Linked DNA regions of Caenorhabditis elegans. The protein of the gene in region 4 interacts with the protein of the main gene of each other region in a pairwise test. Each region holds a gene or a part of one and is shown on either strand. Other genes may lie near its edges.

Region 1 (4,657 bases), on a different chromosome or scaffold from region 4:
TTGAAAAGGTATTCTACATTCCATATTTCCCTTGGATTTATGAAAACATTCAGACATTTCTTCAGAATTTTCCCAAAAGTTATAAGAAAATTGAGTAGAAGCTAGACACTCCGATGATTTGATAACAGTGAAACATTTATCCGAAGATTGAATTATTGAACAATTCCATTTCATTTTACTGAAATTCTATTAATTTTTCTGTCAAAAAACAATTATTGTGATACCGGGCCAACTGAGGTGTTACAACTGGGTACTGTAGATCATCAAGAGGAAATGTTGAAGTTTTCGAGCTATCTGTTGGTTTTTCAAAAAAATCTTGAAAGAAAGAATCAACAAGAGTAGGAAAACCTCCAACTACGCGAAACGGATCAAATCTAGAAGAAATAAACCGTTTTTTTAGAATCCGAAATATGTACATACCCCAGGTTAATTGGAATTTCCCAATTACCAAGCCATTTATAACATAGAAGAAAAAGTAACCAGTTGCAGATAATAATAAATTTCATCTAAAACGTATATATTGCTAGGAACACATTTTTCCATGACCCCTTTCTCTTCAATTCCTTCGTTTCCATGGTAATTCCAATTTTAGTTGCCGAAATTTGGTAGTGTGCAATTGCGCCCCCTTGAGATACGCACGCGGCACGCTTCGCGTAGAACAGAATTTATTACTCGAATTTTGAACGGTATTCGCTTCTGTTTTCATGTTTTTCATGTTTTTTTCTTGAAATATATAATTTGTTTCAGCTTAAATCATTTGAATTACTATCATAATTTATTGTTTTTCTATTAGAATAGCGTTTACAACCACTGCTATTTGAAATTATCCGTTTCGTCGCATTTTACTCCCAGTTCTTGACATATTCGTATTATGTTTCAGGTAATGTCGAGCAGCACGAAAACGTTGTCTCAAACTTACGGACCACGTCCTCAGAGCTTCAGTCTAGATGAAGCCGGAGAAAGATACTACATCGGTTCTGAAATAGGTGCCTATCTTCGTCTCCATCGTGGAACTCTCTACAAGAAGTATCCATTATTATGGAGAAAAGTTGCAACTTCGGATGACAAAGACAAGCTGAAGCAAATTGCAATGTCAAATGCTTTTTTGCATACTAATATCATGTGAGTATAAAAACCAAAGTGTCAAATTTCATTCGGCAAGTATTTTACAGGCTGCTGAGAGCGCATGAAGTAGATGAGCTTCTCGATGGTTCCGAAGAAAAGTACCGAGCGGCTGGAGCAGCGCCTTCAACTCCAAGAACTGAAGGAGCTTCTAGAACTGTCGCTAAAACTCCTGCAACTGGATGGGCAGGACAACAAGTCACCAGCGGTTCACATCATCTCGAATCCGTTCCATGTTCTTGTCCGATAGCTCATTCTAGAGGAAGAATGAAGCATCGTGAATTAGTATATTCAGCAGAAGATTTAGAAATGTCGAAACGAGTGATGAAAAATGCTGAGGAAGGAGAAGATCTTGTGCCAATTCGATTGGATATGGAGTTGGATGGAATCAAACTTCGCGATACGTTCACTTTCAATAAAAACGAGAAAATGATCACTCCCGAGATGATTGCCGAAATTATGTGTGAAGATCTTGATCTACCATTGGCAGTTTTCCAGCCTGCTATTACTGCAGCAATTAATCAGCAGCTCGAAGCTTCTACAGAAGCGCCACCATTGGATGTGAACATTTGTGATCAGAGAGCCGTTCTCAAGTTGAATATTAATGTTGGAAACCAGAGTTTGGTTGATCAATTCGAGTATGTTGGAAATGCTAAAGACTGACAATTCATTTTAACTTCAGGTGGGATATGTCGGATCCTAATAACAGCCCGGAAGAGTTTTCACGAAACATCTGCAAAGAGCTTGGCCTCGGTGGTGAATTTATGTCAGGAATTGCATATTCAATTCGCGGACAGTTACAATGGAATCAAAGAACATATGCGTTTTCAGAAAGCCCACTGGCCACTGTTGATTGCCCGTTCAGGTAAATTTGATATGAAATAATGAATTTTTGCAAACCAATGCTATTCAGAACATCATCTGAAGTCGAATCTTGGGGTCCATTCCTCGAAACTTTAACCGACGCTGAAATCGAAAAGAAGATGCGTGATCAAGACAGAAACACGAGAAGAATGCGTCGTCTTGTTGGCGGTGGATTCAACTATTGAAGTATCTACTGATCTCTACGAAATCAACCTGTATTTAACGAATTTTAACCATTTTATCTCAATATTTTTAATGTGCACTTTCTTTTAATTTATTCTTTCCTCGATCTTTTCTCTACATTTTCTCGTGTAAACTGCTCTTTCCAATAGGAACTTGTGGCGGTTTTCAAACTGAATGATCTAACTGAAAATATAAATAAATAAAATTTCAGAGCCCGATCGTCTCAATCGCTTGAAGAGAAAAATGAGCGACAACGAAGTAGAGATGGAGGATGTGGTGGCCAACGCCGAGAGATCAAGAGGTCGAGGACTTGCGCAGGTAAATTTTGTCGAATTTTGTAATCAATAATCAATAATATATTTTTCTAGAGTCGCAATCGCGAGAGGATCACCTACGACGTGGTCGATGAAGAGTCGTCTGCCACAAGCGGAGCACCACAAAGATCCGTTGAAGGATGGATTGTCTTCGTGACAAACATTCACGAAGAGGCAACAGAAGATGATGTTCATGACAAGTTTTCCGAGTACGGAAAAATTAAGAACATTCATTTGAATCTCGACAGACGAACCGGTTTTTTGAAGGGATACGCACTGGTGGAGTACGAAACGCAGAAGGTAATATTTTAGCAGTCGTCGTTTCTATCGAAATCATTTACTATATATAAAGCGCTTATTCTGTGTGTCCATAGTTTGTAGTCTATGTAGTCTTTGTAGTCTGTGAAGTTTTGGCTTCTGTGGGGATAGTGAGTTGGGGTTAGTGTAGGGATATAGTCGGGGTACTGTAGTGGTACAATAGTGGTACGGTAGGAATACTGTAGGGTTACGGTAGTTTCAGAAAAATTAGTTTTCAGCCCCAGAAGTGGGGGGCCGCGCCGGAGGTGCGGTCCACGGCTGGTATCAATATAAATTATTTATTTTCCAGGAAGCCAACGAAGCTATTGATCAGAGCAACGATACAGATCTTCTCGGCCAGAATGTCAAAGTCGATTGGTGCTTCGTCAAGGGAAAGAAGACTTCTGGAAAGCGCTGAAAACCACGTACTTAATTGTCCTCTCCAATCCACGTTTTATGTTTTTTTACACGTCACTGTTAAGTTTTTCCTTTTCTATTTATTTTTTGTCCTCTTTCCCAATTTACCATTCGAAATTTTAAATATCTATTTGGTCTCAACTCGCTCGCTCTTCTCAATTTTGCGATTTTTGTTATCTATGTGACACATGCAATAACAGTGAATAAAATGACCATTTTTCAATTATCTGCTGTTGCTATTTTCTTTTTATCGTTAACCAGTTTGGAACGATTTGATATCTTCAATTGTTTCGTAGATCAAATTCTGGAAAAAAAGATTTCTGAATATCTGAGTTTTGCAGATGTTTTCTTCTGCTGTTCGAGCTCTTTGCCGCACGGTTCCTACTGTTGCCACCCGCCAGTTGAGCACATCTCGTGCTCTTTTGTCACTTCGTCCACTTGGACCAAAAAATACTGTCCCAGCTTTCAAAGGAACTGCTGTCGTTGATGGAGACTTCAAGGTTAAAAATAACAAATATATATATTTTTTTCAAAAATTAATTCCAGGTGATTTCTGATCAAGACTACAAAGGAAAATGGCTCGTCATGTTCTTCTATCCACTTGACTTCACCTTTGTATGCCCAACTGAAATCATCGCATACGGAGATCGTGCAAACGAGTTCCGTTCTCTTGGAGCTGAAGTTGTCGCGTGCTCGTGTGATTCTCACTTCTCTCACTTGGCCTGGGTTAACACTCCACGCAAGGACGGAGGACTCGGTGATATGGACATCCCTTTGCTCGCTGATTTCAACAAGAAGATCGCCGACTCGTTCGGTGTGCTCGACAAGGAATCCGGACTCTCATACCGTGGACTTTTCCTCATTGATCCATCTGGAACTGTCCGTCACACTACTTGTAACGATCTTCCAGTTGGAAGATCTGTTGATGAGACTTTGAGAGTGCTCAAGGCATTCCAATTCTCTGATAAGCACGGAGAGGTGAATTTTGAAATTTACAAAAAATTTAATTTCTAGCAAAAAAAATGCAATGTTTTTTTTCCGAAACTTTGGCCCGCCATAAAAATATTTAAATTTTTGTTGAAAAGGAAATCGGTCGTTTCGGGCTAGTTTTAGTCCATTAAAACAAATTTCGACGAATAAAAAATTAATTTTTCAGGTTTGCCCAGCTGATTGGCATGAGGATTCTCCAACCATCAAGCCAGGAGTCGCTACCAGCAAGGAATACTTCAACAAGGTCAACAAGTGATCACACAGAAACAGAACAATTATTTTTATTCTTTGTATTTATCATATTGATGATTTAGTTTGTCGGTTTAAATAAATAGGTGTCATTCAGCTCGAGTTTTTTGAAATTAATTTTGGAAAATATACGGTTTCAGAAAAATCCATTAAAATATTGATTTTTGTTTCCTAAAAAGTTTTGGAAAAAAATGTGAATTTCATTTCAGATTTTTCTAAAT
Region 2 (5,270 bases), on a different chromosome or scaffold from region 4:
GTTCTAGTTTAGTTAAAAATTCTGGCAGCCTCATTTCCAGTCCCGCCTATAATAAGTTATTTTTAGGATGAAAACAACAATTTTCGTTGGAAAAACTTATCGTACTGTTTCATAGGAGCCATAATTTTGAACAGTCTCTACTCAATAATTATTTATTGTGCGTTAAAAATGCGACACAACTTATTGAAACAATTGGAACATGTCTCACCGGAATATCGAAAACTTGAAAATCAGTTTTTCAAAACAATAATAATACAAATCGCCCTTCCAACTATCTTCCTAACATTCCCAATGATGATATTATTGAGCACGCCTATTCTGAATCTTGAAGTCAGTTTTAATTCGAGTATTTATCATTGGGGAATCAGTTTTTATCCGTCACTGGACAGTATTGCTGTCATGCTTATTGTTTCTGAATATAAAGTGTGCATTAGAAGTTAGCCCTTTGGTGAAATATTTTATAATTTAAATTATTTTCAGAAATTTTCAAATGTTCTAACACAGTCGACACCACTAATCAAACTTCGTTAACAAATTTTGCCTGAATGTATTTCGTTCAGGTTTTTTGTTTAGAAAATACATGTTGATTATCATGTGCAAATGATGTTAATTATTTGCCTTTTTATTGAAGTCCGTATCACGTCAACTTTAAGCTTGGCCCGTTTTACCACTGTTGTTATTCCAAGAACCAATCAATCTTAACTTTGCAAAATTAGTTCCTTATGTAAATCGATAGAATAAAATGTATTTCTCAACATACGAAAATTCTAGTACGTAATGCCAAATCTTCAAAAGTTAAATCTCTAAAAACGGCCACTACCGGCACTATGTGCAGTTATTTATTAAAAAACTTTAATTAATAATTTTTTAATGAAATGATATTTATTATCAAAATAAGAAATTTAAAACTTCAAAATAAAAGCTGAATAAACCCAGAAAATCCATTATCCACAAAAAAGTATTATGAATCCATAACATCTTCAATTATTTGCACGATATTATCCTTTGGTGTTTTTGCAACAAGCGGTGCAATATATAATAGATGTAGATCTTTTTGCATTCTTTGCTGTCGTTCCAAAACATCAATTATTCCAATTAAATCAGTGAAACGGCTTGGACCATTTCCAATGTTTCGAATACAATGATCGAGTAGAGCTTCAGAGTACTTCTGTCGTTCCTCGGCCAACAGAAGCTGTGCATGCTTGGAAAGATCAGGAACGGCTGAAACAATCAATAACTAGTCATACAAGTAATGGAAAATTGTTACCTGGATTGCATAGGCAAATAGCTTTTAGTAAGACATACTCAATTTGTTGAACTTGATACCGTATTAGTGGAATAATTGACATGACATTGCTTGAATAATATTCTTGACTGAAATTCAGGTGGTATTAGAAGTTAGATTACTTCTGCCTTACTTCCTGTGCATTTGAAGGGTTCCATCTGGATGTACTGCAGTGTCATATTTTTTTGAAACGGACGAAAATGAAACTAGTAGATTCACACATGCCAGTGTTGTATATCTGATCAGAATAAGTTGATCTCTTGGTAGAAGCTCATGGAAAAACATGAAAGTTTTGGCGTATTCTATTGTTGCAAGCATGTTAAAATAGAGCCAATGCTTTCTGAATTACTCGTTCTTAACTGTAAGTTTTTTCCCAATTTATGTGATGTGACTTACTTTTTTGGAGAGTAAGGAGGTGGTCCACCTATAACTAATTTTTCGTGTGATAAAGGCGGAGGACGGGATGGGGACAGATTGTTATCGAGAAGAGGCCATCCGGGCATTGGCTAAAAAATCATTTTTCAGACGAATATGCGCGACTTTAAATACCCCAAACTTGTCTGCCAAACTGATTCGATTTGTACTATTCAACACAAATTCCAATCCGCGAACTTCGGCCCAATGTGGATTGTAAGAAGATGCTCGAAATTGATCCAACTTTAATTCAAGGTACGTCAACATGTCAGCGATTTTTTGAATTTTGTTTTCCATCGATTCCAAACTGTTCAAGACCAATTGCTTTTCATTTACAGCATCGTTGCCTATCATGTTTTTACGTTTGGTTACTTCTTTCAAACAATCTGTGTTCGTTTTATCTACTTCTAACGCGTGAGGATTCATCCCAACTGCAAAACATTTGTTGATTCGACATGCTCGACATTTAACAGGAACATCTGGAAACTGATTGATTTTCTAATAACTTCATTTCCTTGCAAACCTCTAGTTGATAAATCAAAACAATCATCATTAAGTTTGCAAGTGAACAATCGTTTTGAAATTACATATCTTCTAAAAAAAGTTTTACATCCATTACATGCAGGTACATCGTAATGATATCCGGACGCTGAGCCACCACAAACGAAGCAATCTTTTGGTCGTTCAGCATAAACTTTTAGTTGTGGAATGATCTGGAAAGCAACTGATTTGACTTTTAGATATTAATGGTGTCTCGAACATTTTTTTTTTGTCTCAGAATCTGCCAGTTTTGGCAAATACTGCGAATTTACTTCATAATAATACTTGTCTTGTCAGGTATAATACTTGTCAGGTACTTGAGAAAATATAGTATTTAATCACAAAAACTTGGTTCAACATTTCATTAGGATGCTTATGCTACAAAATTGCAGGTGTATGAAATTACCTCAGGAAGGTCAACAGGACTATTGGAACAACTAGGTTCGTCCATGTGATGTTCTGCAAAAAATGTGATAATAAAAACAAAAATAGAGCCATATGAAATATTTTTTGGAAAATCAGCCATGATGTTTCTATTAAAAAATGAAACAAAACACAACAAAATAATTTATTGAGATCACAAAATGTACTCGAAAATTGTCAAAGAAATCATAGTCAAGAATAGCTAATTCAGAGAATCAAATTAAGTAAATTGGCTTTAAATAAAAACTAAAAATTCATAATATCATCTACTAACAACATTTTATCCTTTTGAGGAATTTTGGAAACAAATGGTGCAACGTGTAACAGGTGTAAATCTTTCTGCATTCTTTGTTGACGCTCCAGTAGGTCGACCATTCCAATCAGCTCAGCAAACTGACTCGGCCCGTCTTTTCTGTTTCGGAGGCAATGATCAAATAGAGCGTCGGCGTACTGTTCACGTTCCCTGCCAAGAATTTCTTGGGCGTGTTGCGAGAGGTCAGGCACCGCTAAAAAGTGAAATTTTCCGTTTCTCGCAGAGTGTTTTAGTAATCTTTTTATTGAAAACTACTTTTTGCCGTAATTTATTTTTTAGATTCGGTACCATATTTCTGACCAGATTCGGAAAAGTATTTGGCGATGTAAAGTTTCTAGTTGAAAAACATGTTGAAAACAATGGAAAAAGGTTTAGATAAAGGTTTCAGAAGTTGCTGGGAAAGTTTTCTAAAAAATTATGGAAAGATTTTGCAAAGAAATTGCAAAATTGAACTTAGAAACATAATGGCAAAACTACAGAACTTATTTGAGACACTTCTAATAGTTTGCCAACATTCGTCCGAAAGTTTTCATCGAATGCCGGATAGCTTACCTGGATTACATAAACATATTGCTTTTAGCAAAACAAACTCCGTTTCCTGGATTTCACATCTTATTAATGGAGCAATTGACATAACTGTCTCCGCGTAAACCATTCCTCTGAAAGGTTAAAAATTGATTTTGCAAATATTTTCTTTGCAAACTCACTTCTTCATTGGTGCCAGTTTCCCATCTGGATGAATAATTGTATCATATTTTTTAGCAACAGTAAAATAAGAAATGTGTAAATTCATTAGAGCCAATGCAACATATCTCATCAAAACTAATCTGTCTCTTGAATCAAGTTGATGAAAAAACATAAATGTTTTTGCATATTCTATGGATACCATCAAATCGTAGAGGATCCAACATTTCTGATCAGGGGAATATGCTGGGCCAGTTGGTTTTTTACCAAACTCCGGAATTTTCGGAGGACTCGATTGAGTTTTCAACGGCCACCCGGGCATTGGCTGAAAGTAAAGTATACAAATTAACCTATGTTGACAAAAACATACTCCAGATCTATCAGCAAGGCTAATTTTATTCTCTAACAAAAGAAATGCTTCTAGTCCGGGTAATGTGCTCCAGTGGGGATTGTATGCCGACATTCGGAATTTTGTTACCTTCCTTTCCAAATAGTTAAGCATATCCACCAGTTTTTGCATTTTATTTTCAATGCATGCAACATCCTTGATTACTTGTTTTTTCTCGATTTGATGCTCAATATCTTCGCCACTATCATCGTCTGGATCTTTTGGGTTTGACTGATTTACTCTCTTTTTCAATTTTTTAAAGTTTTCAGCTGTCGCTTCTTTTTCGTCAAGTAGCATTGCATTTGGATTCATTCCTTCTGATATACACTTCTCATAACGACATGCTCGACATTTCAGTGGAACTTTTCTTTTTGTCAAGTTAAAACAGTCCCCGCCGGCTTTGCAAATAAAACTTTTTTCCGAGACGCACAATCTTCTAAAGAAAGTTTTGCATCCATTACAGGATGGTACATCGTAGTGGTATCCATTTGCAGTTTTTCCACAAATTGAACATTCGGATGGTCTCTGGTGACGTTGACGTGCTGGGGATTCCGATCTTGCTGTGCGGTTGGGCTCTTTTTGAATTATTGATGGAAGCTGTAACACGATAATTTTTGAAATGGGCATGGAACCTGAACGTGAACAAGTAACATTTCAATTTTTTTTTTCCAAATTTCTTATAAAATTAAAGGACTAATAATCCGCTTTTCAAGCGCTATGCACTCGGATCTGGCAGACAGGAACACTGCTCTGTTTTCAAAAAAAACCCGTCAGAAATATGTGCATCAAAATAAGTAAATTAAAAATTCAAATTAAAAAAACAACTTTTCACTAGAACATTTTTTACGTTTCTTATTTTCAAAGATTATTTTTAAAGTTTCCGAGAACTGAACTTTAAAAACTTTCAAAAATGCATTCATTTCTGTTTATTCTGTTTCTGAACTTCAGACCCTACCTCAGGAAAATCAAAATCTATAGAATCCACACTTGAAACCTTTGAACAACCAGGCGGCTCCATCTTGTACCTGCAAAAACGAAAAGTTTTGTTCCTGTACATGAAAATTAAAATAATTGGGTCGGTAGAATAGAAGGACAAAACAAAGGAGACTAGTGGTAGAACATGATGTCCTCTCGGAGAGATTCGACGTCACACCTCACCAAAACAGTCTCCAGGTTGAAAAGAAATACCCGTTGCATTAGATTCAAATCTTGTCTGTTATCGG
Region 3 (6,615 bases), on a different chromosome or scaffold from region 4:
TTTCGGTATAATTTATTTCATTGTTAAGTGTTTTAAACAAGTGCAAATCGGGTTAAGAAAAGTCTATTGTGCATGGAAATTCAAAAAAAAGCGCAACAAAAGAATTCAGAAATTCTTTTAGGGACTCGTTTGGATACTGTATTAATTCATATGCACTTTATAAAGGAGTATATTGTCTTGCATCGACTATAAAATACTTCATTGGATTTTTTTATTCGTCGCATTTGCAATGAACTATTTTATTACTTTCTTCTTTATGCATATTGCTGTATTGAATTTTTATTTTCGATTTTCGAATGGAAATAAGATTGTAATGAGAGTCGGTGGTAGTCCTGAAACAAAAAGATTGGAGCGATCAAAGCGTCAAGCTTTACGCATGGACAATGAACCTCGATGGCCTCGTGGAACTATTAATTATTTTTTCGATGAACAACGTTTTGGTAAAACTTCAAATTCTGGCATTTTTAGTTATTCATTTTCAGATGAAAATTCGAGAGCAACCGTGCTGAGAGCAATGGAAAAAATATCTAACCACACATGTATCAAGTTTTCTCCAAAAGATGCACGAATAAAACTTCGAATTGTGAGTGATAAAGGATGCCAAGCGGCCATTGGACGAGTTGGGGGAGATCAGCAATATTTGAGTTTTCCTACATCTTGCTATAGTGTTGGAAGTGCAAGTGAGCTGATTCATGTAATTGGCTTTCTTCATTCTCATCAAAGGGCTGATCGTGACGAATACCTTAAGTTGAACTTGCAACCATGGAGATTGAATGATTGGTTTCAAACAATGCAGTATAAAAAGTATTTGGATCAATGGTGGATTGTACCATATGATTATGGTAGTATCATGCAATACCATGATTCTGAGTAAGTATGTTTTTGGTGAGAAAATAATAAGTTTAAGAAATTCCAGTAATGAATATGGGCCTAAAAATTCAAAATACTTCCGAACAATGGGTTCGCAAATACCTTCGTATTTCGATTATCTGATGATTAACGAATACTACCAATGTTCTTGTGAAGGGGAAGAACAAATAAACTGCAAGAATCGAGGGTATCCAAATCCAGGAAATTGTTCTGAATGCAATTGTCCTCTCGGTTTTGGGGGCTGACTGTAGCGACGTTGCAAAACCAGCTGTCATTGTAGAATCATCTGAAGAGTGGAAAAATATAACTCTAAATTTGGATGCGGGCTATATGTCATTACAGAATGGAACCAAACTTCACCAAATAGATTTCGTATTCCGTTATCTTTCTATTTCCGTATGTAAATTATTATCACTTACATACAAATTCATTAGAAATTACAGGCACCAGCTAATAAGACTATCGAAGTCGATATTCGAGAGATTACTGGAGTAGAATGCAATTATGGTTGTTACATTGGTGGAATTGAAGTTAAAACTCACGAAGATCGACGAATGACTAGTCCGAGACTGTGCTGCAAGAATGATAATGAAATATACAAATCACGAAACAATCCAACAATTGTTATGGCATTTAACTCAGAAGGACTTGATAAATATAACATTTTCTACAGATTTACGGATTGAGATAAATTCTATTTTTACTTCCAGGCTTTTTGTGATTTTTTGCATGAAATTTCTGAAGAATAAATTTTAAATTCACAATACAATCGAAGGTTTTGACACGTTTATCATAATTTTGAAAGTCGACCAAAAAAAATTGTTTTATTATATTCTTCCATTTTAATTGAGCTTCAATAATTATAATTGAAACATTCGAAAATTATTCAAATAGACTATATTTTTTGGAGATTTTGGCATTTTGTCAAAACATTGGCTGATAACTTCGAAAATCTGGAAATTTTTTGAAGACTTTAAATGTGTCAGGCTAAATCACCACTTTCAACTTTAAAGGTCTTGAAATGTTGGGGAAACTTTGAAAAAATTCGACTTTAAGAGCATCCAAAAATTGAGAAAAATTGTCGGTATTTGATTGCAGCTCATTGTTAGATTAAGTAAACCAATTCTGTGAAGCTCTGATGCCTAGTTGCCGGAAGTACCACACAGGCCTGTTATTTAAATTTGTTTTGTTTTCCATTCCATTCAGTATATCATTTACTTTTTTCATTTACTTTCATTTAATCACAGTATATTTAGTCAACTATCATTTACAGTATAAAAACGCGTTACATATAATTTGCCACTTGTCTGCTCTCCAAAAATGATTGAAAAAAAAACAATCATCGAAACACTCCCTTCCGATTTCATAGTTTCTCAAATAGTCTTTGTGTACGTACAATTGGTGTTTTATTATTTTTGACTTACAAAAGAACTACTGTATTGTCATTTGAATGTATATAAAAGCACAATTGCAAGCACAGTCCTTGTAGACAGAAAAATGAAGTCGTTTTTTATTCTTCTCTCAATTTTACAAGAGTGCTATGGAAAGGATATTGTTGCAAGAATTGGTGGAAGAAATGTCGCCGAAAAAATTGGTGGAGCCCGTCATAGGAGACAAGTATTGATTCGTGGGTCAGATGAAGAGCGACGACATAAATGGTTCAACAATACAGTACATTATTATTTTTATGAAGAAAATTTCGGTTAGTGTTCATGTGATGCAAATTATTTCTCAAATTAATTAAGATTTCACTGTGAAAGAGTCAATACTTCGTGCAATGGAATTGATATCCAATCATACCTGCATTAAATTCTCAACAGAACCATCTGAAAAATCAATTCGAATGGAAAGTGATTCCACGACAATCGCATGTTATGCAGAAATTGGTCAGGTCCGAGAGAATCAACTTTTTAGTTTCAACTCAGACTGCTATTCTGCTGGTGTTGCCGTTCATGAACTTATTCACAGTTTGGGATTTATTCATGCACATCAGAGATCCGATAGAGATCAGTATCTCGAATTCAAGAAAAATCTCGATGAATTAAACCAAACTTATCAGGAACAATACAAAATTTGGGAATATCAAGAGATACTTGTTCCATATGATGTTGGGAGTGTCATGCAATATCCAAATGAAGAGTAAGTCGGGAATCTAGCCTAAATCCACTTATGTTTCACAAATGTTTAAAAAATGTGTTATTTGTTTAGAAACTTCTAATTTTCCTCAAGTTCAAATTCTAATTCTAATTTTCAAAAAAAAAATCTGAAAAGTTTTTGGGCATTTTGGGACATTTTCCAAACTGATGGTCTTTTAATATAGTTTTTTTCCGAACTCGGTAAAACGTTGCAACTTCATAGCACACTTTTGCAACTTCTTAGCCATCTTTTCATGTTTTAACTTCTTAACAAACCCCTGCATCTTCTCATAAGACTGTTGCAACTTCTTCGCAAAGATACAATTAAATTTCTTCTGGCGACGCACACGCTGCTATTCAGACAGCTCCTGCAAAGTTCTGCAGATTCCTGCAGACTTTAAACACGCGAGCACGCGCCGAAGAATGCGTTGCGGCTAGGTTTGTATTCGAATTGTTTTTCCTATTTTCATGGATTATTTGCAGATTTTTCGGTTTTTCTGATTTATTTTCAATACTTTTTTCACAAATTTATTTCTCCACACAAATTTTTATTTTTTTTACAGATGGAAGACGAGTCAAGCGCCAAGTATCCATACAGAGAGTCAATGCCACGTGCGGAAAGGGTATCAATGAAAGCTCTCCGTAAGTATTCATCGAAATAAAATAGTTATTGTTTTTATTGAAATATTTTTAGAAGACGAATGGAGACACTTGTTTATTACACGCGCTGAGGGAGAAAACAACATACACAACCCGAAAATTCCGGAGGACACAAATGATTTTGATGACGATATGCCTATTGAATGTAATGAATCAGAAGAAGAAAGCATCACTGGAGACCGTGAAGTGTTTTCTGTTCATCATAATGAAGAGGATGAAGACCAAGAAGATTCTAGCCAAATATGCGAAGAATCAGAACCACAGGAATTGTTCGAAATGTTCGGTATATAACATCTGCTGCTACACATACAGACCAAAATTGTGCCGTCGTACTGACAAACATTTCAAGGAGCTTCCAAGTGGACTTATCAATATTATTAAAGGTATATATGTTTACTTGAATGAAGTTTTAAACAGCAGCTTTCAGATCTCTCTCTGGACATTTCTGGATTGTACCTGCCTCAAACCCTATTGACAGGAAGAATTGATCTGAACGATGAGTGAGTTAACTAGATTCACATCTAAAAATAAATTCAAAATTCAACTACGTTTACAGGTTCGTCGCATCAATTGAAGTCGAGGATGCAGAAAAATCGAAGGAAATTCTGCGACGACGAAGGGAAAGACCGTTGGCATTGAGGCAGTTCAGTCATGCTCTTTCAAGAGCAATGTGAGTACCTTATATTGAAGCCTCATATCTAAATAGGAGCATTTTTGTAGGGCGAATCTTCGCACATATCATTATGATGTGACGACCGAGAAGATTGAGAGGTGTCCAATGAGAAACTCTTGCAAAGGACATTTAAAATGGGAGCAGATGCGAAAATATCGAGCTCAGTGCAAGAAGAATTTCAAAGACCCTAGCCTGGCGACTGTGGAGGATATGATGTCAAAATGAATTTCAAATTTTGCGACCCCAAACAATGCGTTAATCATGTTTTTTGTTAATTTGTTATATTTGTTAATTTATTTTGTTTTGTTAATTACCGGAAAAATGAAAATTTAACCGAAGTTAGAGTTATAATGAATAGAAAACATTTATACAGAGTAATTTTCAGCAAATATGAGCGTTTTATATGCAACCTAATGCAATCTGCAGCAACTTCGTGACAGAGTTCTGCAACTTCATAGCAGCTTTTTGCAACTTCTTATAATTGTTTTTATTAAGTTGCAGAAGTTTGCTAAGAAGTTGCAAGAGTGTGCTATGAAGTTGCAACGTTTTACCGAGAAGAATTAAATTTAAAATTCTTGTCAATGCCTCAAATTCATATGAAAACAAAACGTAGAAAAATTTTAGAGACGAGGAATATTACCCAGTAAGAAAATACCGTACAATGGCAAATACCATGGGATCTGCAATAGTAGCTTTCTACGACTACCTAATGATCAACAAGTACTATGAATGTTCTTGTGCAAATAATCTATCGTGTAAGAACCATGGATACCCAAATCCTTCAAATTGTTCACAATGTAATTGTCCATATGGATTTGGCGGAGCTGATTGTAGTCAACGCGCCGAGCCAGGTGCAACTTTTCAAGCAACTGAAACTTGGCAGAATGTCACAATTTCTTTAGACGCTGGATATAGATATTTGGAAAATAATCAGAAACTTCCGCAAGTTGATTTCATATATCAGTTTTTGTGGATTATGGTACATTTTTTCTCTGAGTGAATTGTTTTAAATTAAAATTAAATTTAGGCCCCAGCTAACAAAACAACACAAATTCGAGTGGAGAAGTTTGTAGAAGGAAAGTGTTTGCCTGGATGTATTCGGGGTGGTGTTGAAATAAAAACAAATGAAGATCCACGGTTGACAAGTCCACGTTTATGTTGTGAAGAAACTTCATAGATCCAGTCAAACTCCAACAATTGTCATGGCGTTCAACGAAGAAGGGATTGATGAATATAATATCTCATTTAGACATGTTTGATAAATATTCATGATTAAATTATACTCGCTACATAAGTTCACTTTAAATATGAAGTCTCAAATATACAGTTACAACAGAAGAACGACGTCACTAGTAATATTATTGATTCTACTCCGCCCATGTTTACACTATTTATGGCAACGCGCGGAAACCGTCAAGTGCCCGTTCATTCAGTAAATGGTGCAAACTCGAGTGTACTCTATCTTTAGCTTTGCGCTGGGGCGATAACGTGACCAATGAGGCTTTGCCGAGGTGCGTTTATTGCTGGTTGAAAACTTTTCCCAATTGCCCGCGATGTCCCCTGAAACATGGGTGGCATACGCAATTTTTGAACGCCTCTAGGAGGCAGAAAATCTTATTATAAGATCGGCTCTCATAATAAACTTGACATAAAATATGATATAAACATAGACGGAGGATATTATCATTTTCAACGTAGCTTATCACATCTTAACCGAATGTTCTCGAAATCTTATTTATTTATCGCAACCTTACTTCCCTTCCCTCTGTAATCCCATCGCAGTATTATTTTCTCTCGTACAGGCCTTGTTGAGCAAATCATTGCCAATGTTGATACAGTTCCATGATACGGGATCAATATATATACGAATGCGAATTTATCTGAAATCGAGCATGTTAACGGCTGATCTAGAAAATAACTTACATTCATCTCCGATTGATTCCGATTGAATGCTAATTTTAGAAAATCCGAAACTGGAAATATGAAGAACAAAGAATTTATAACTGCTTGAATCACAACACTGACAAAAAACATTTTTTGTATTTCAATCGTTTTCCTCGATGCAACAAGCTTCAGTGCACGAAGTCTAAATGGTATGGCAATTAGGGAAATAACCACTAAAAACAATGTAGTGGTGGTAACTGAACACATGGATACCAAAGAATACATGTATTGATTGTCGGTTACTGGCGGGAAGACAAACAAATTATTACATTGAACAATATGAGATATGACCATAAATTTCTAAATTTCATGCAATTAATGAGTCTTATTTTA
Region 4 (5,600 bases):
ATATGAGCCCCACCGATAAAAATACAGTCCTAGTGTGTGCCTTTAAAGTGGCGTTTCGTGTTAAAAAAATCTTTAATCATTTTTTTTCAGGACGGGAATAATGGAAGAAGAGAAGGTGATTGTTATGAAAGAAGATGTCACGGAGCTATTCAATGGCCTTGAGTCCGAATGTGCAATGTTTGCTCAACACCTGTCAGTTCTTCGTTATCAAACGAATCCAGATTATGCACTTCTTCGAGATCTTCTCATGAATATTTTTGTTCGACGAAATTTCAATGCTCAAATGAAAGTTGATTGGGAGAAAGGTGGACGATATGAAAGCCATTTTGAGAAGAAAACTTCAACTTTGTAAGTTTTTAAATATTTTGAATATTATTAAGATAATTTGAATATGTTCAGGCCAGTTGTTATCGAGAAAGACATGACTGAAGTGGATCTGTCAAAGTTGCTGAATGTTCCGCAAAATGAGAGAAATATAACAATGGAAGAAATTATAGCTGCTGGTAAAACGACAGAGGAAGAGGGACTGAATACTGCTCAAGATGATACGATTGTTGAGGATGAAAATGGATTTTTGGTGAGATTTACGGCGAAAGTTGTTGTAGGTAGGCATGAGGTAGGCACGTAGATATGCAGATATGAGGTTGAGATCAGACCTATAGGCAGGCGCACGAGGGGTAGGCATGAGGAAGGCACAAAGTTAGGCAAGCAGAAAGTAGACAGGCAGGCATTAAGTTAGAACCAGGGAATGAATAATGAAGGCATGTATGAAGCCAGGCATAGGAAATGCAGTTTTGAGGTGCGCCTAGGCAGGTAGGTATGAGGTCAGAATAGGCATACGGGATCTGAGAATCAGGTAAGTGTGTGTTGCGTGTAGTTCTAATGCAAACGCGTAGGCAGGCATGGGGGAGCTCAATATTAATAATAAATCGTTATTAGGCAGGCATGCGGCAGGTAGATAGGCATGTAGGTAGGTGCCGTAGACAAGAGATATATTTGAAACATTCAGGGAAAACAAGAAGCCAAGCCGGCGACACCATCTGCTCGATCTGAAACCAGTAAGAAAGTGAAAAGGAGATATATTGCGAGAACACCATCGGCGCATAAGGTATAGAATACGTTATTCGACGTATTAAATTTTCCAATTTTCAGATTGAACAGATTGAAAAGAACTGGAAGAAGAAAGAGGAAGAAGCGAATAAAGAGAAGTTGCTGAAGAATGCACGGGCGGCACGAAGAGCCAAAGAAGATTTTATTGTTCCGGAGGATAATACGGTTCAAAAAAGAAAACTCGAGAGCACACAACTGTCGTCTGCAGTTTCCACGAAATCCACTAGAAGTATTGGAAAGAAGATTTTGCCGCCGAAATCATTTGAGCTTCATTGATAAATTTTATTTTTTAATTTTGTAGACACACAGACAGATGTAATCGTGCTAAAAATTACGATTTTGAAAAAAAACAATTTTTCTTTTTCTTAATTTTTTTGAATACGAAAGAATGAATTTCCAGACTGAAATTTTCATTATTCATTAATTTTCGCACGCGTAAATTTTTGGAGAGGAAATAAAAAACCGCGATGCGAGTTTGGGTTTTGCTGTTCACAGTTTGTTCAACAAATTTATTATGAGTATTTTTTAAAGGTTATTTTCTAAAATTCTAGACCTGAATTTCGAGCGAAACTCATTTTCAAATCTCCTCCTTTTTTGACCCATCAATAGAGCGCGCCTTCTCAGCTTTCGAGTCACCACCGATTAGAGGCCTGTGAGACCTCGTGTCATAAAAATTTCTGAAAAAAAGCGTGGATAATTCGTATCAGGACACGAATAAAGTTAATATTTTAAATGATCCACAGTGAAATTAACATTTTCATTGAAATTTTCGTCTTTTAATGATATTTCAAAACGTTTCCTTTGCGGTTTTCCAAGTTTCCACTTCTTGAGTCTAGAGATCTCGAGTCCGTAGATACTCTTCTCATTTTTTGGAACAGCGTTCGTTCTCGATTCGGCAGTTAATTTTTCATTTTAAAACATTTTTAGACTTCAAAAATAGTTATTTTTCAGTTTTCTTCTCAAAAAATTTCCACATCCTCTGTTGTTTTCATTCAATAGAATTCAGAGATGATTTTTGATTTCTGTATGTATAAAACCATTTGTGATTGCGTATTAAAACGATTGATCGACAATTTCGTCGTTGGTTTTATTCGTTATCAGCTCTAAAATTCGAGAAAAATGTGCAGACGATTAGACGCTTGGTTTTTAAATTTCTCTTTACAAGTTTAGCTTTAATTTTCTTTTTTTTTCAGATCGGGCAGAATTGGAGTGATGACAGCATTGGAAAAACTCGCAAAATTGAGATCCTTGTTCCATTCGGAACGGGTTCTCGCGCTCACTTCCAGCAAGCCGATGGTCGCGTATCTTCTCCCAAGCACTGACGCTCATCATGTTGGTTTTTAGGCTTCAAATAATCTTCTAAATGTTAATTTTCAGAGCGAATATCTAGCCGATTACGATTTTCGAGTGAAATTCCTGTCTGGTTTCAGTGGTTCCAATGCCTACGTTGTTGTTACCGATAGAGAAGCTCTCCTTTGGACTGATGGCCGATATTTCACTCAAGCCGGGAATCAGCTTGATTCCAACAGCTGGAAATTGATGAAACAAGGACAGCCCGATTCGATTACTGTCGTTGATTGGCTTGTGAGAGAGCTCGAGCGTGGATCCGTTATTGGATTTGATCCAACTCTGTCGACGTTCGACGCTGGTTCCAAGACATTTAAACGTCTGAAGGCAGCAGGTCTTCAACCAGTCTCGATTCCTGGAAATCTAGTCGACGAGTTCTGGACTGATCGGCCAAGACTCGCTGGTGAGCCAGTAAGTTGATAGATCTATACTGCGGGATTTAATGTTCCACTTTTCAGGTAGTCGTGCTCGATGTTGAAGACACTGGTCTTACAACTTCAAAAAAAGTCGAGAATCTTCGGGAGAAGCTGAAACAAAAAAAGTGCGACGCAGCTGTATTTACTCTTCTTGATGATGTTATGTGGCTTCTGAACATTAGAGGAAGTGATATCCCGTACAATCCTCTTGCATATTCATATCTCTTCGTGGCAATGCGCGAGATTCACGTATTTATCGACAATGAGAAACTCGATGAGAAATCTCGAGCCCATTTCCACAAATCGAATGTATCGATTCATCCATACGGAGAAGTCTATTCATGGATATCCAATTGGCTCAAGGCAAAAGAAGCGAGCAAAGAGCCTCACATGGTTTATCTCACACCAGAAACTAATTACGCTATTGGAAGCATTATTGGCGAAGAGAACTCGATGGTTGACACTTCCCTGGTTCAGGTAATTCCATGAATTTCTTGAAATTTTTGAAATTTAATCTTTTTCAGACCGCCAAGGCCACCAAAAACGATCATGAAATGCAAGGAATGAGAAACAGTCATGTAAGAATGGCTACAGCATCGTTTAGGATATAATTTAATTCTTTCTAGCTTCGTGATAGTGCTGCTCTTGTTGAGTTCCTTTGCTGGCTCGAAAAGGAGTTGCTCTCTGGAAAAAGATACACTGAAATCGAGTTAGCTGATAAGATAGACCATTTGAGAAGTCTTCAAGACAAATATGTTACTTTGAGGTTCGTTTGTTAAATATTTAAAACTACATTTAATTTATATTTATTTTCAGTTTTGATACCATATCAGCTGTCGGAGATCACGCAGCACTTCCCCATTACAAGCCTCTCGGAGAAAGTGGCAATCGTAAGGCTGCAGCCAATCAGGTGTTCCTCCTCGATTCTGGAGCTCATTATGGAGATGGAACAACCGATGTGACGAGAACTGTGTGGTACACGAACCCACCGAAAGAGTTCATTCTGCACAATACTCTTGTATTGAAGGGACACATTAATTTGGCACGGGCCAAGTTCCCTGATGGTATCTATGGTTCTCGTTTGGACACGCTGACTCGTGATGCTTTATGGAAGCTTGGTCTCGATTTTGAACATGGTACTGGACACGGTGTTGGACACTACCTTAACGTACACGAAGGACCGAGTAAGACGAAAACAGTAAATGTAACTGTTTGAATATTTATTTTCAGTCGGAATCGGTCATCGTAGTGTTCCAACCGGTGGAGAGCTTCATGCCAGCCAAGTGCTTACCATTGAGCCAGGATTCTATGCCAAGGAGAAGTACGGAATTCGAATTGAAAACTGTTACGAAACAGTTGAAGCTGTTGTCATGTCTAAAGCTCAGAACTTCTTGACATTCAAGGTATACCCAGATCCCAGGAACTTTATAAACTTATTAATTTCAGTCTCTCACTTTGGTGCCTATTCAAACTTCGATCGTCGACAAGTCTCTTCTGATTGAAGAGGAAATCAATTGGCTCAATCAATACCACGCTCGGGTTCTGAAGGAAGTTGGTGAACATCTTCAGAAACGCGGAAAAACGGATGAGCTGAAATGGCTCGCAGAAGCCTGTAAACCAATCTAAATATCTGGAACAATTACAACATGTTTTATATTATTTTAACCGGTCAACGTCTTGTTGAGCAAATTTGTGCTCAATTAACTATTTTTTATCACAATTTCTGGATCCTGGTGTAAAACTTATTCTCCCCGAATGATTCATCCGTATTCCCCTTTTTTTCTCCTGTCGTTCTTTCTCGCTTTTCCGTAGATTTCCTGTACTAATACTTGAGAATGAATCTTTTTCTTTTGTTAGTTGGAAAATTGAAACATAAATAACAATGCCGGCTAGCAGGTCTTAACAACTGTAAGCTAGAATGTTTGGTTGACGACATTTTGCTGTCGGATTTTGACATCGGTGCAGAGATTCAAGCCAAAGTGCTTACAAGTGAGCCAGGATTGGATGTAAGGTTAATAACGAATTTGAATTGAAAACTGTTGCGAAACTGATGAAGCTGTTGTGAACTGCATTCTCATAGATCCAAGATTCTCGCTTTTAACTTCTCCTCGATTTCCTGTATTTACAAATTCTTGAAAATGAATAATTTTTATTTGTTGATTCGTAAACTGAAATATTTAAAAAAAAGAAACAAAAATACGGACCAACGGGTCTTAACAAGTAAACTAGAATACGGTTTGATGACACAGATGAAAAATAATTAAAGCTTGAATATCAAGCACTAGTTGGCCGGCTTCATATAGCTGCCGCTCGCGGGAAATTTGAATTTTTGCGGAGATCTGTCCACGAATGGCTTCTTATTCTTATCGGCGATCCATGACGCTGGAATTGTGGAGATGCCCGGGGATGATTCCGCATTTTCAAGCCATTGATCTGTGCAGCATAGTCCCATGCAATCCCTATCCTCACAGAACAGCTTCGACATTGAGCTTTCTTTTGGTGGCAGCAACTGAAAATAGGATTTCGTTTTTGAAAAAGAGTAATATAAATTTATACCACAGCTGTTTCGATGTTACTCCAATCCTTTGGCTGGCCATTAAAAAAGCTGTTCTGGTAGATCTTCCGTTTTCCTGTATCAAATGATTTGATGTATGCACGACCCGTTTTCCTGATGTGCGCGATTCTCCGGGCAACATCTTCTTCGGTCTGAAAAAACAAGATACACTG

What was found.
Region 1: the proteins of app-1 (region 4) and rnp-4 interact in a two-hybrid assay, tested with the Caenorhabditis elegans proteins (one large-scale study listed by BioGRID).
Region 2: the proteins of app-1 (region 4) and nhr-129 interact in a two-hybrid assay, tested with the Caenorhabditis elegans proteins (one large-scale study listed by BioGRID).
Region 3: the proteins of app-1 (region 4) and nas-22 interact in a two-hybrid assay, tested with the Caenorhabditis elegans proteins (one large-scale study listed by BioGRID).

What each region holds. Positions count from the first base shown.
Region 1 is NC_003281.10:4,403,906-4,408,562, forward strand, and holds rnp-4 (RNA-binding protein rnp-4), read left to right. Parts: upstream 1-2,380; 5' UTR 2,381-2,412; coding exon 2,413-2,487; intron 2,488-2,537; coding exon 2,538-2,783; intron 2,784-3,090; coding exon 3,091-3,198; 3' UTR 3,199-3,418; downstream 3,419-4,657. Other genes in the region: R07E5.17 (uncharacterized protein), read right to left, coding at 1-178, 225-374, 421-506; snfc-5 (SWI/SNF Subunit INI1 DNA binding domain-containing protein), read left to right, coding at 884-1,122, 1,173-1,760, 1,805-1,987, 2,036-2,171; putative peroxiredoxin prdx-3, read left to right, coding at 3,539-3,697, 3,744-4,175, 4,354-4,443.
Region 2 is NC_003283.11:13,328,322-13,333,591, forward strand, and holds nhr-129 (Nuclear Hormone Receptor family), read right to left. Parts: upstream 2,699-5,270; 5' UTR 2,691-2,698; coding exon 2,646-2,690; intron 2,413-2,645; coding exon 2,223-2,412; intron 2,179-2,222; coding exon 1,835-2,178; intron 1,792-1,834; coding exon 1,682-1,791; intron 1,626-1,681; coding exon 1,419-1,625; intron 1,375-1,418; coding exon 1,268-1,374; intron 1,222-1,267; coding exon 962-1,221; 3' UTR 864-961; downstream 1-863. Other genes in the region: str-37 (Seven TM Receptor), read left to right, coding at 67-436, 481-545; nhr-168 (Nuclear Hormone Receptor family), read right to left, coding at 2,909-3,168, 3,528-3,634, 3,683-3,984, 4,030-4,644, 5,003-5,065.
Region 3 is NC_003283.11:11,472,344-11,478,958, forward strand, and holds nas-22 (Zinc metalloproteinase nas-22), read left to right. Parts: upstream 1-2,355; 5' UTR 2,356-2,367; coding exon 2,368-2,572; intron 2,573-2,615; coding exon 2,616-3,009; intron 3,010-3,594; exon of another isoform or gene 3,595-3,647; intron 3,648-3,699; exon of another isoform or gene 3,700-3,780; coding exon of another isoform or gene 3,781-4,048; intron 4,049-4,092; coding exon of another isoform or gene 4,093-4,165; intron 4,166-4,221; coding exon of another isoform or gene 4,222-4,335; intron 4,336-4,385; coding exon of another isoform or gene 4,386-4,563; intron 4,564-4,962; coding exon 4,963-5,317; intron 5,318-5,365; coding exon 5,366-5,515; 3' UTR 5,516-5,664; downstream 5,665-6,615. Other genes in the region: Zinc metalloproteinase-like protein nas-21, read left to right, coding at 230-440, 483-870, 917-1,101, 1,151-1,266, 1,314-1,556; T11F9.7 (YkgJ family cysteine cluster protein), read left to right, coding at 3,781-4,048, 4,093-4,165, 4,222-4,335, 4,386-4,563. UniProt on the Caenorhabditis elegans protein: Metalloprotease.
Region 4 is NC_003279.8:4,963,793-4,969,392, reverse strand, and holds app-1 (Xaa-Pro aminopeptidase app-1), read left to right. Parts: upstream 1-2,303; 5' UTR 2,304-2,322; coding exon 2,323-2,442; intron 2,443-2,487; coding exon 2,488-2,868; intron 2,869-2,915; coding exon 2,916-3,350; intron 3,351-3,397; coding exon 3,398-3,451; intron 3,452-3,499; coding exon 3,500-3,639; intron 3,640-3,689; coding exon 3,690-4,057; intron 4,058-4,103; coding exon 4,104-4,276; intron 4,277-4,319; coding exon 4,320-4,499; 3' UTR 4,500-4,726; downstream 4,727-5,600. Other genes in the region: W03G9.5 (Protein kinase domain-containing protein), read left to right, coding at 91-348, 400-577, 1,010-1,108, 1,153-1,386; Protein pid-4, read right to left, coding at 5,155-5,382, 5,430-5,579. UniProt on the Caenorhabditis elegans protein: Catalyzes the removal of a penultimate prolyl residue from the N-termini of peptides, such as Arg-Pro-Pro. Has activity towards the flp-9 neuropeptide KPSFVRF-amide.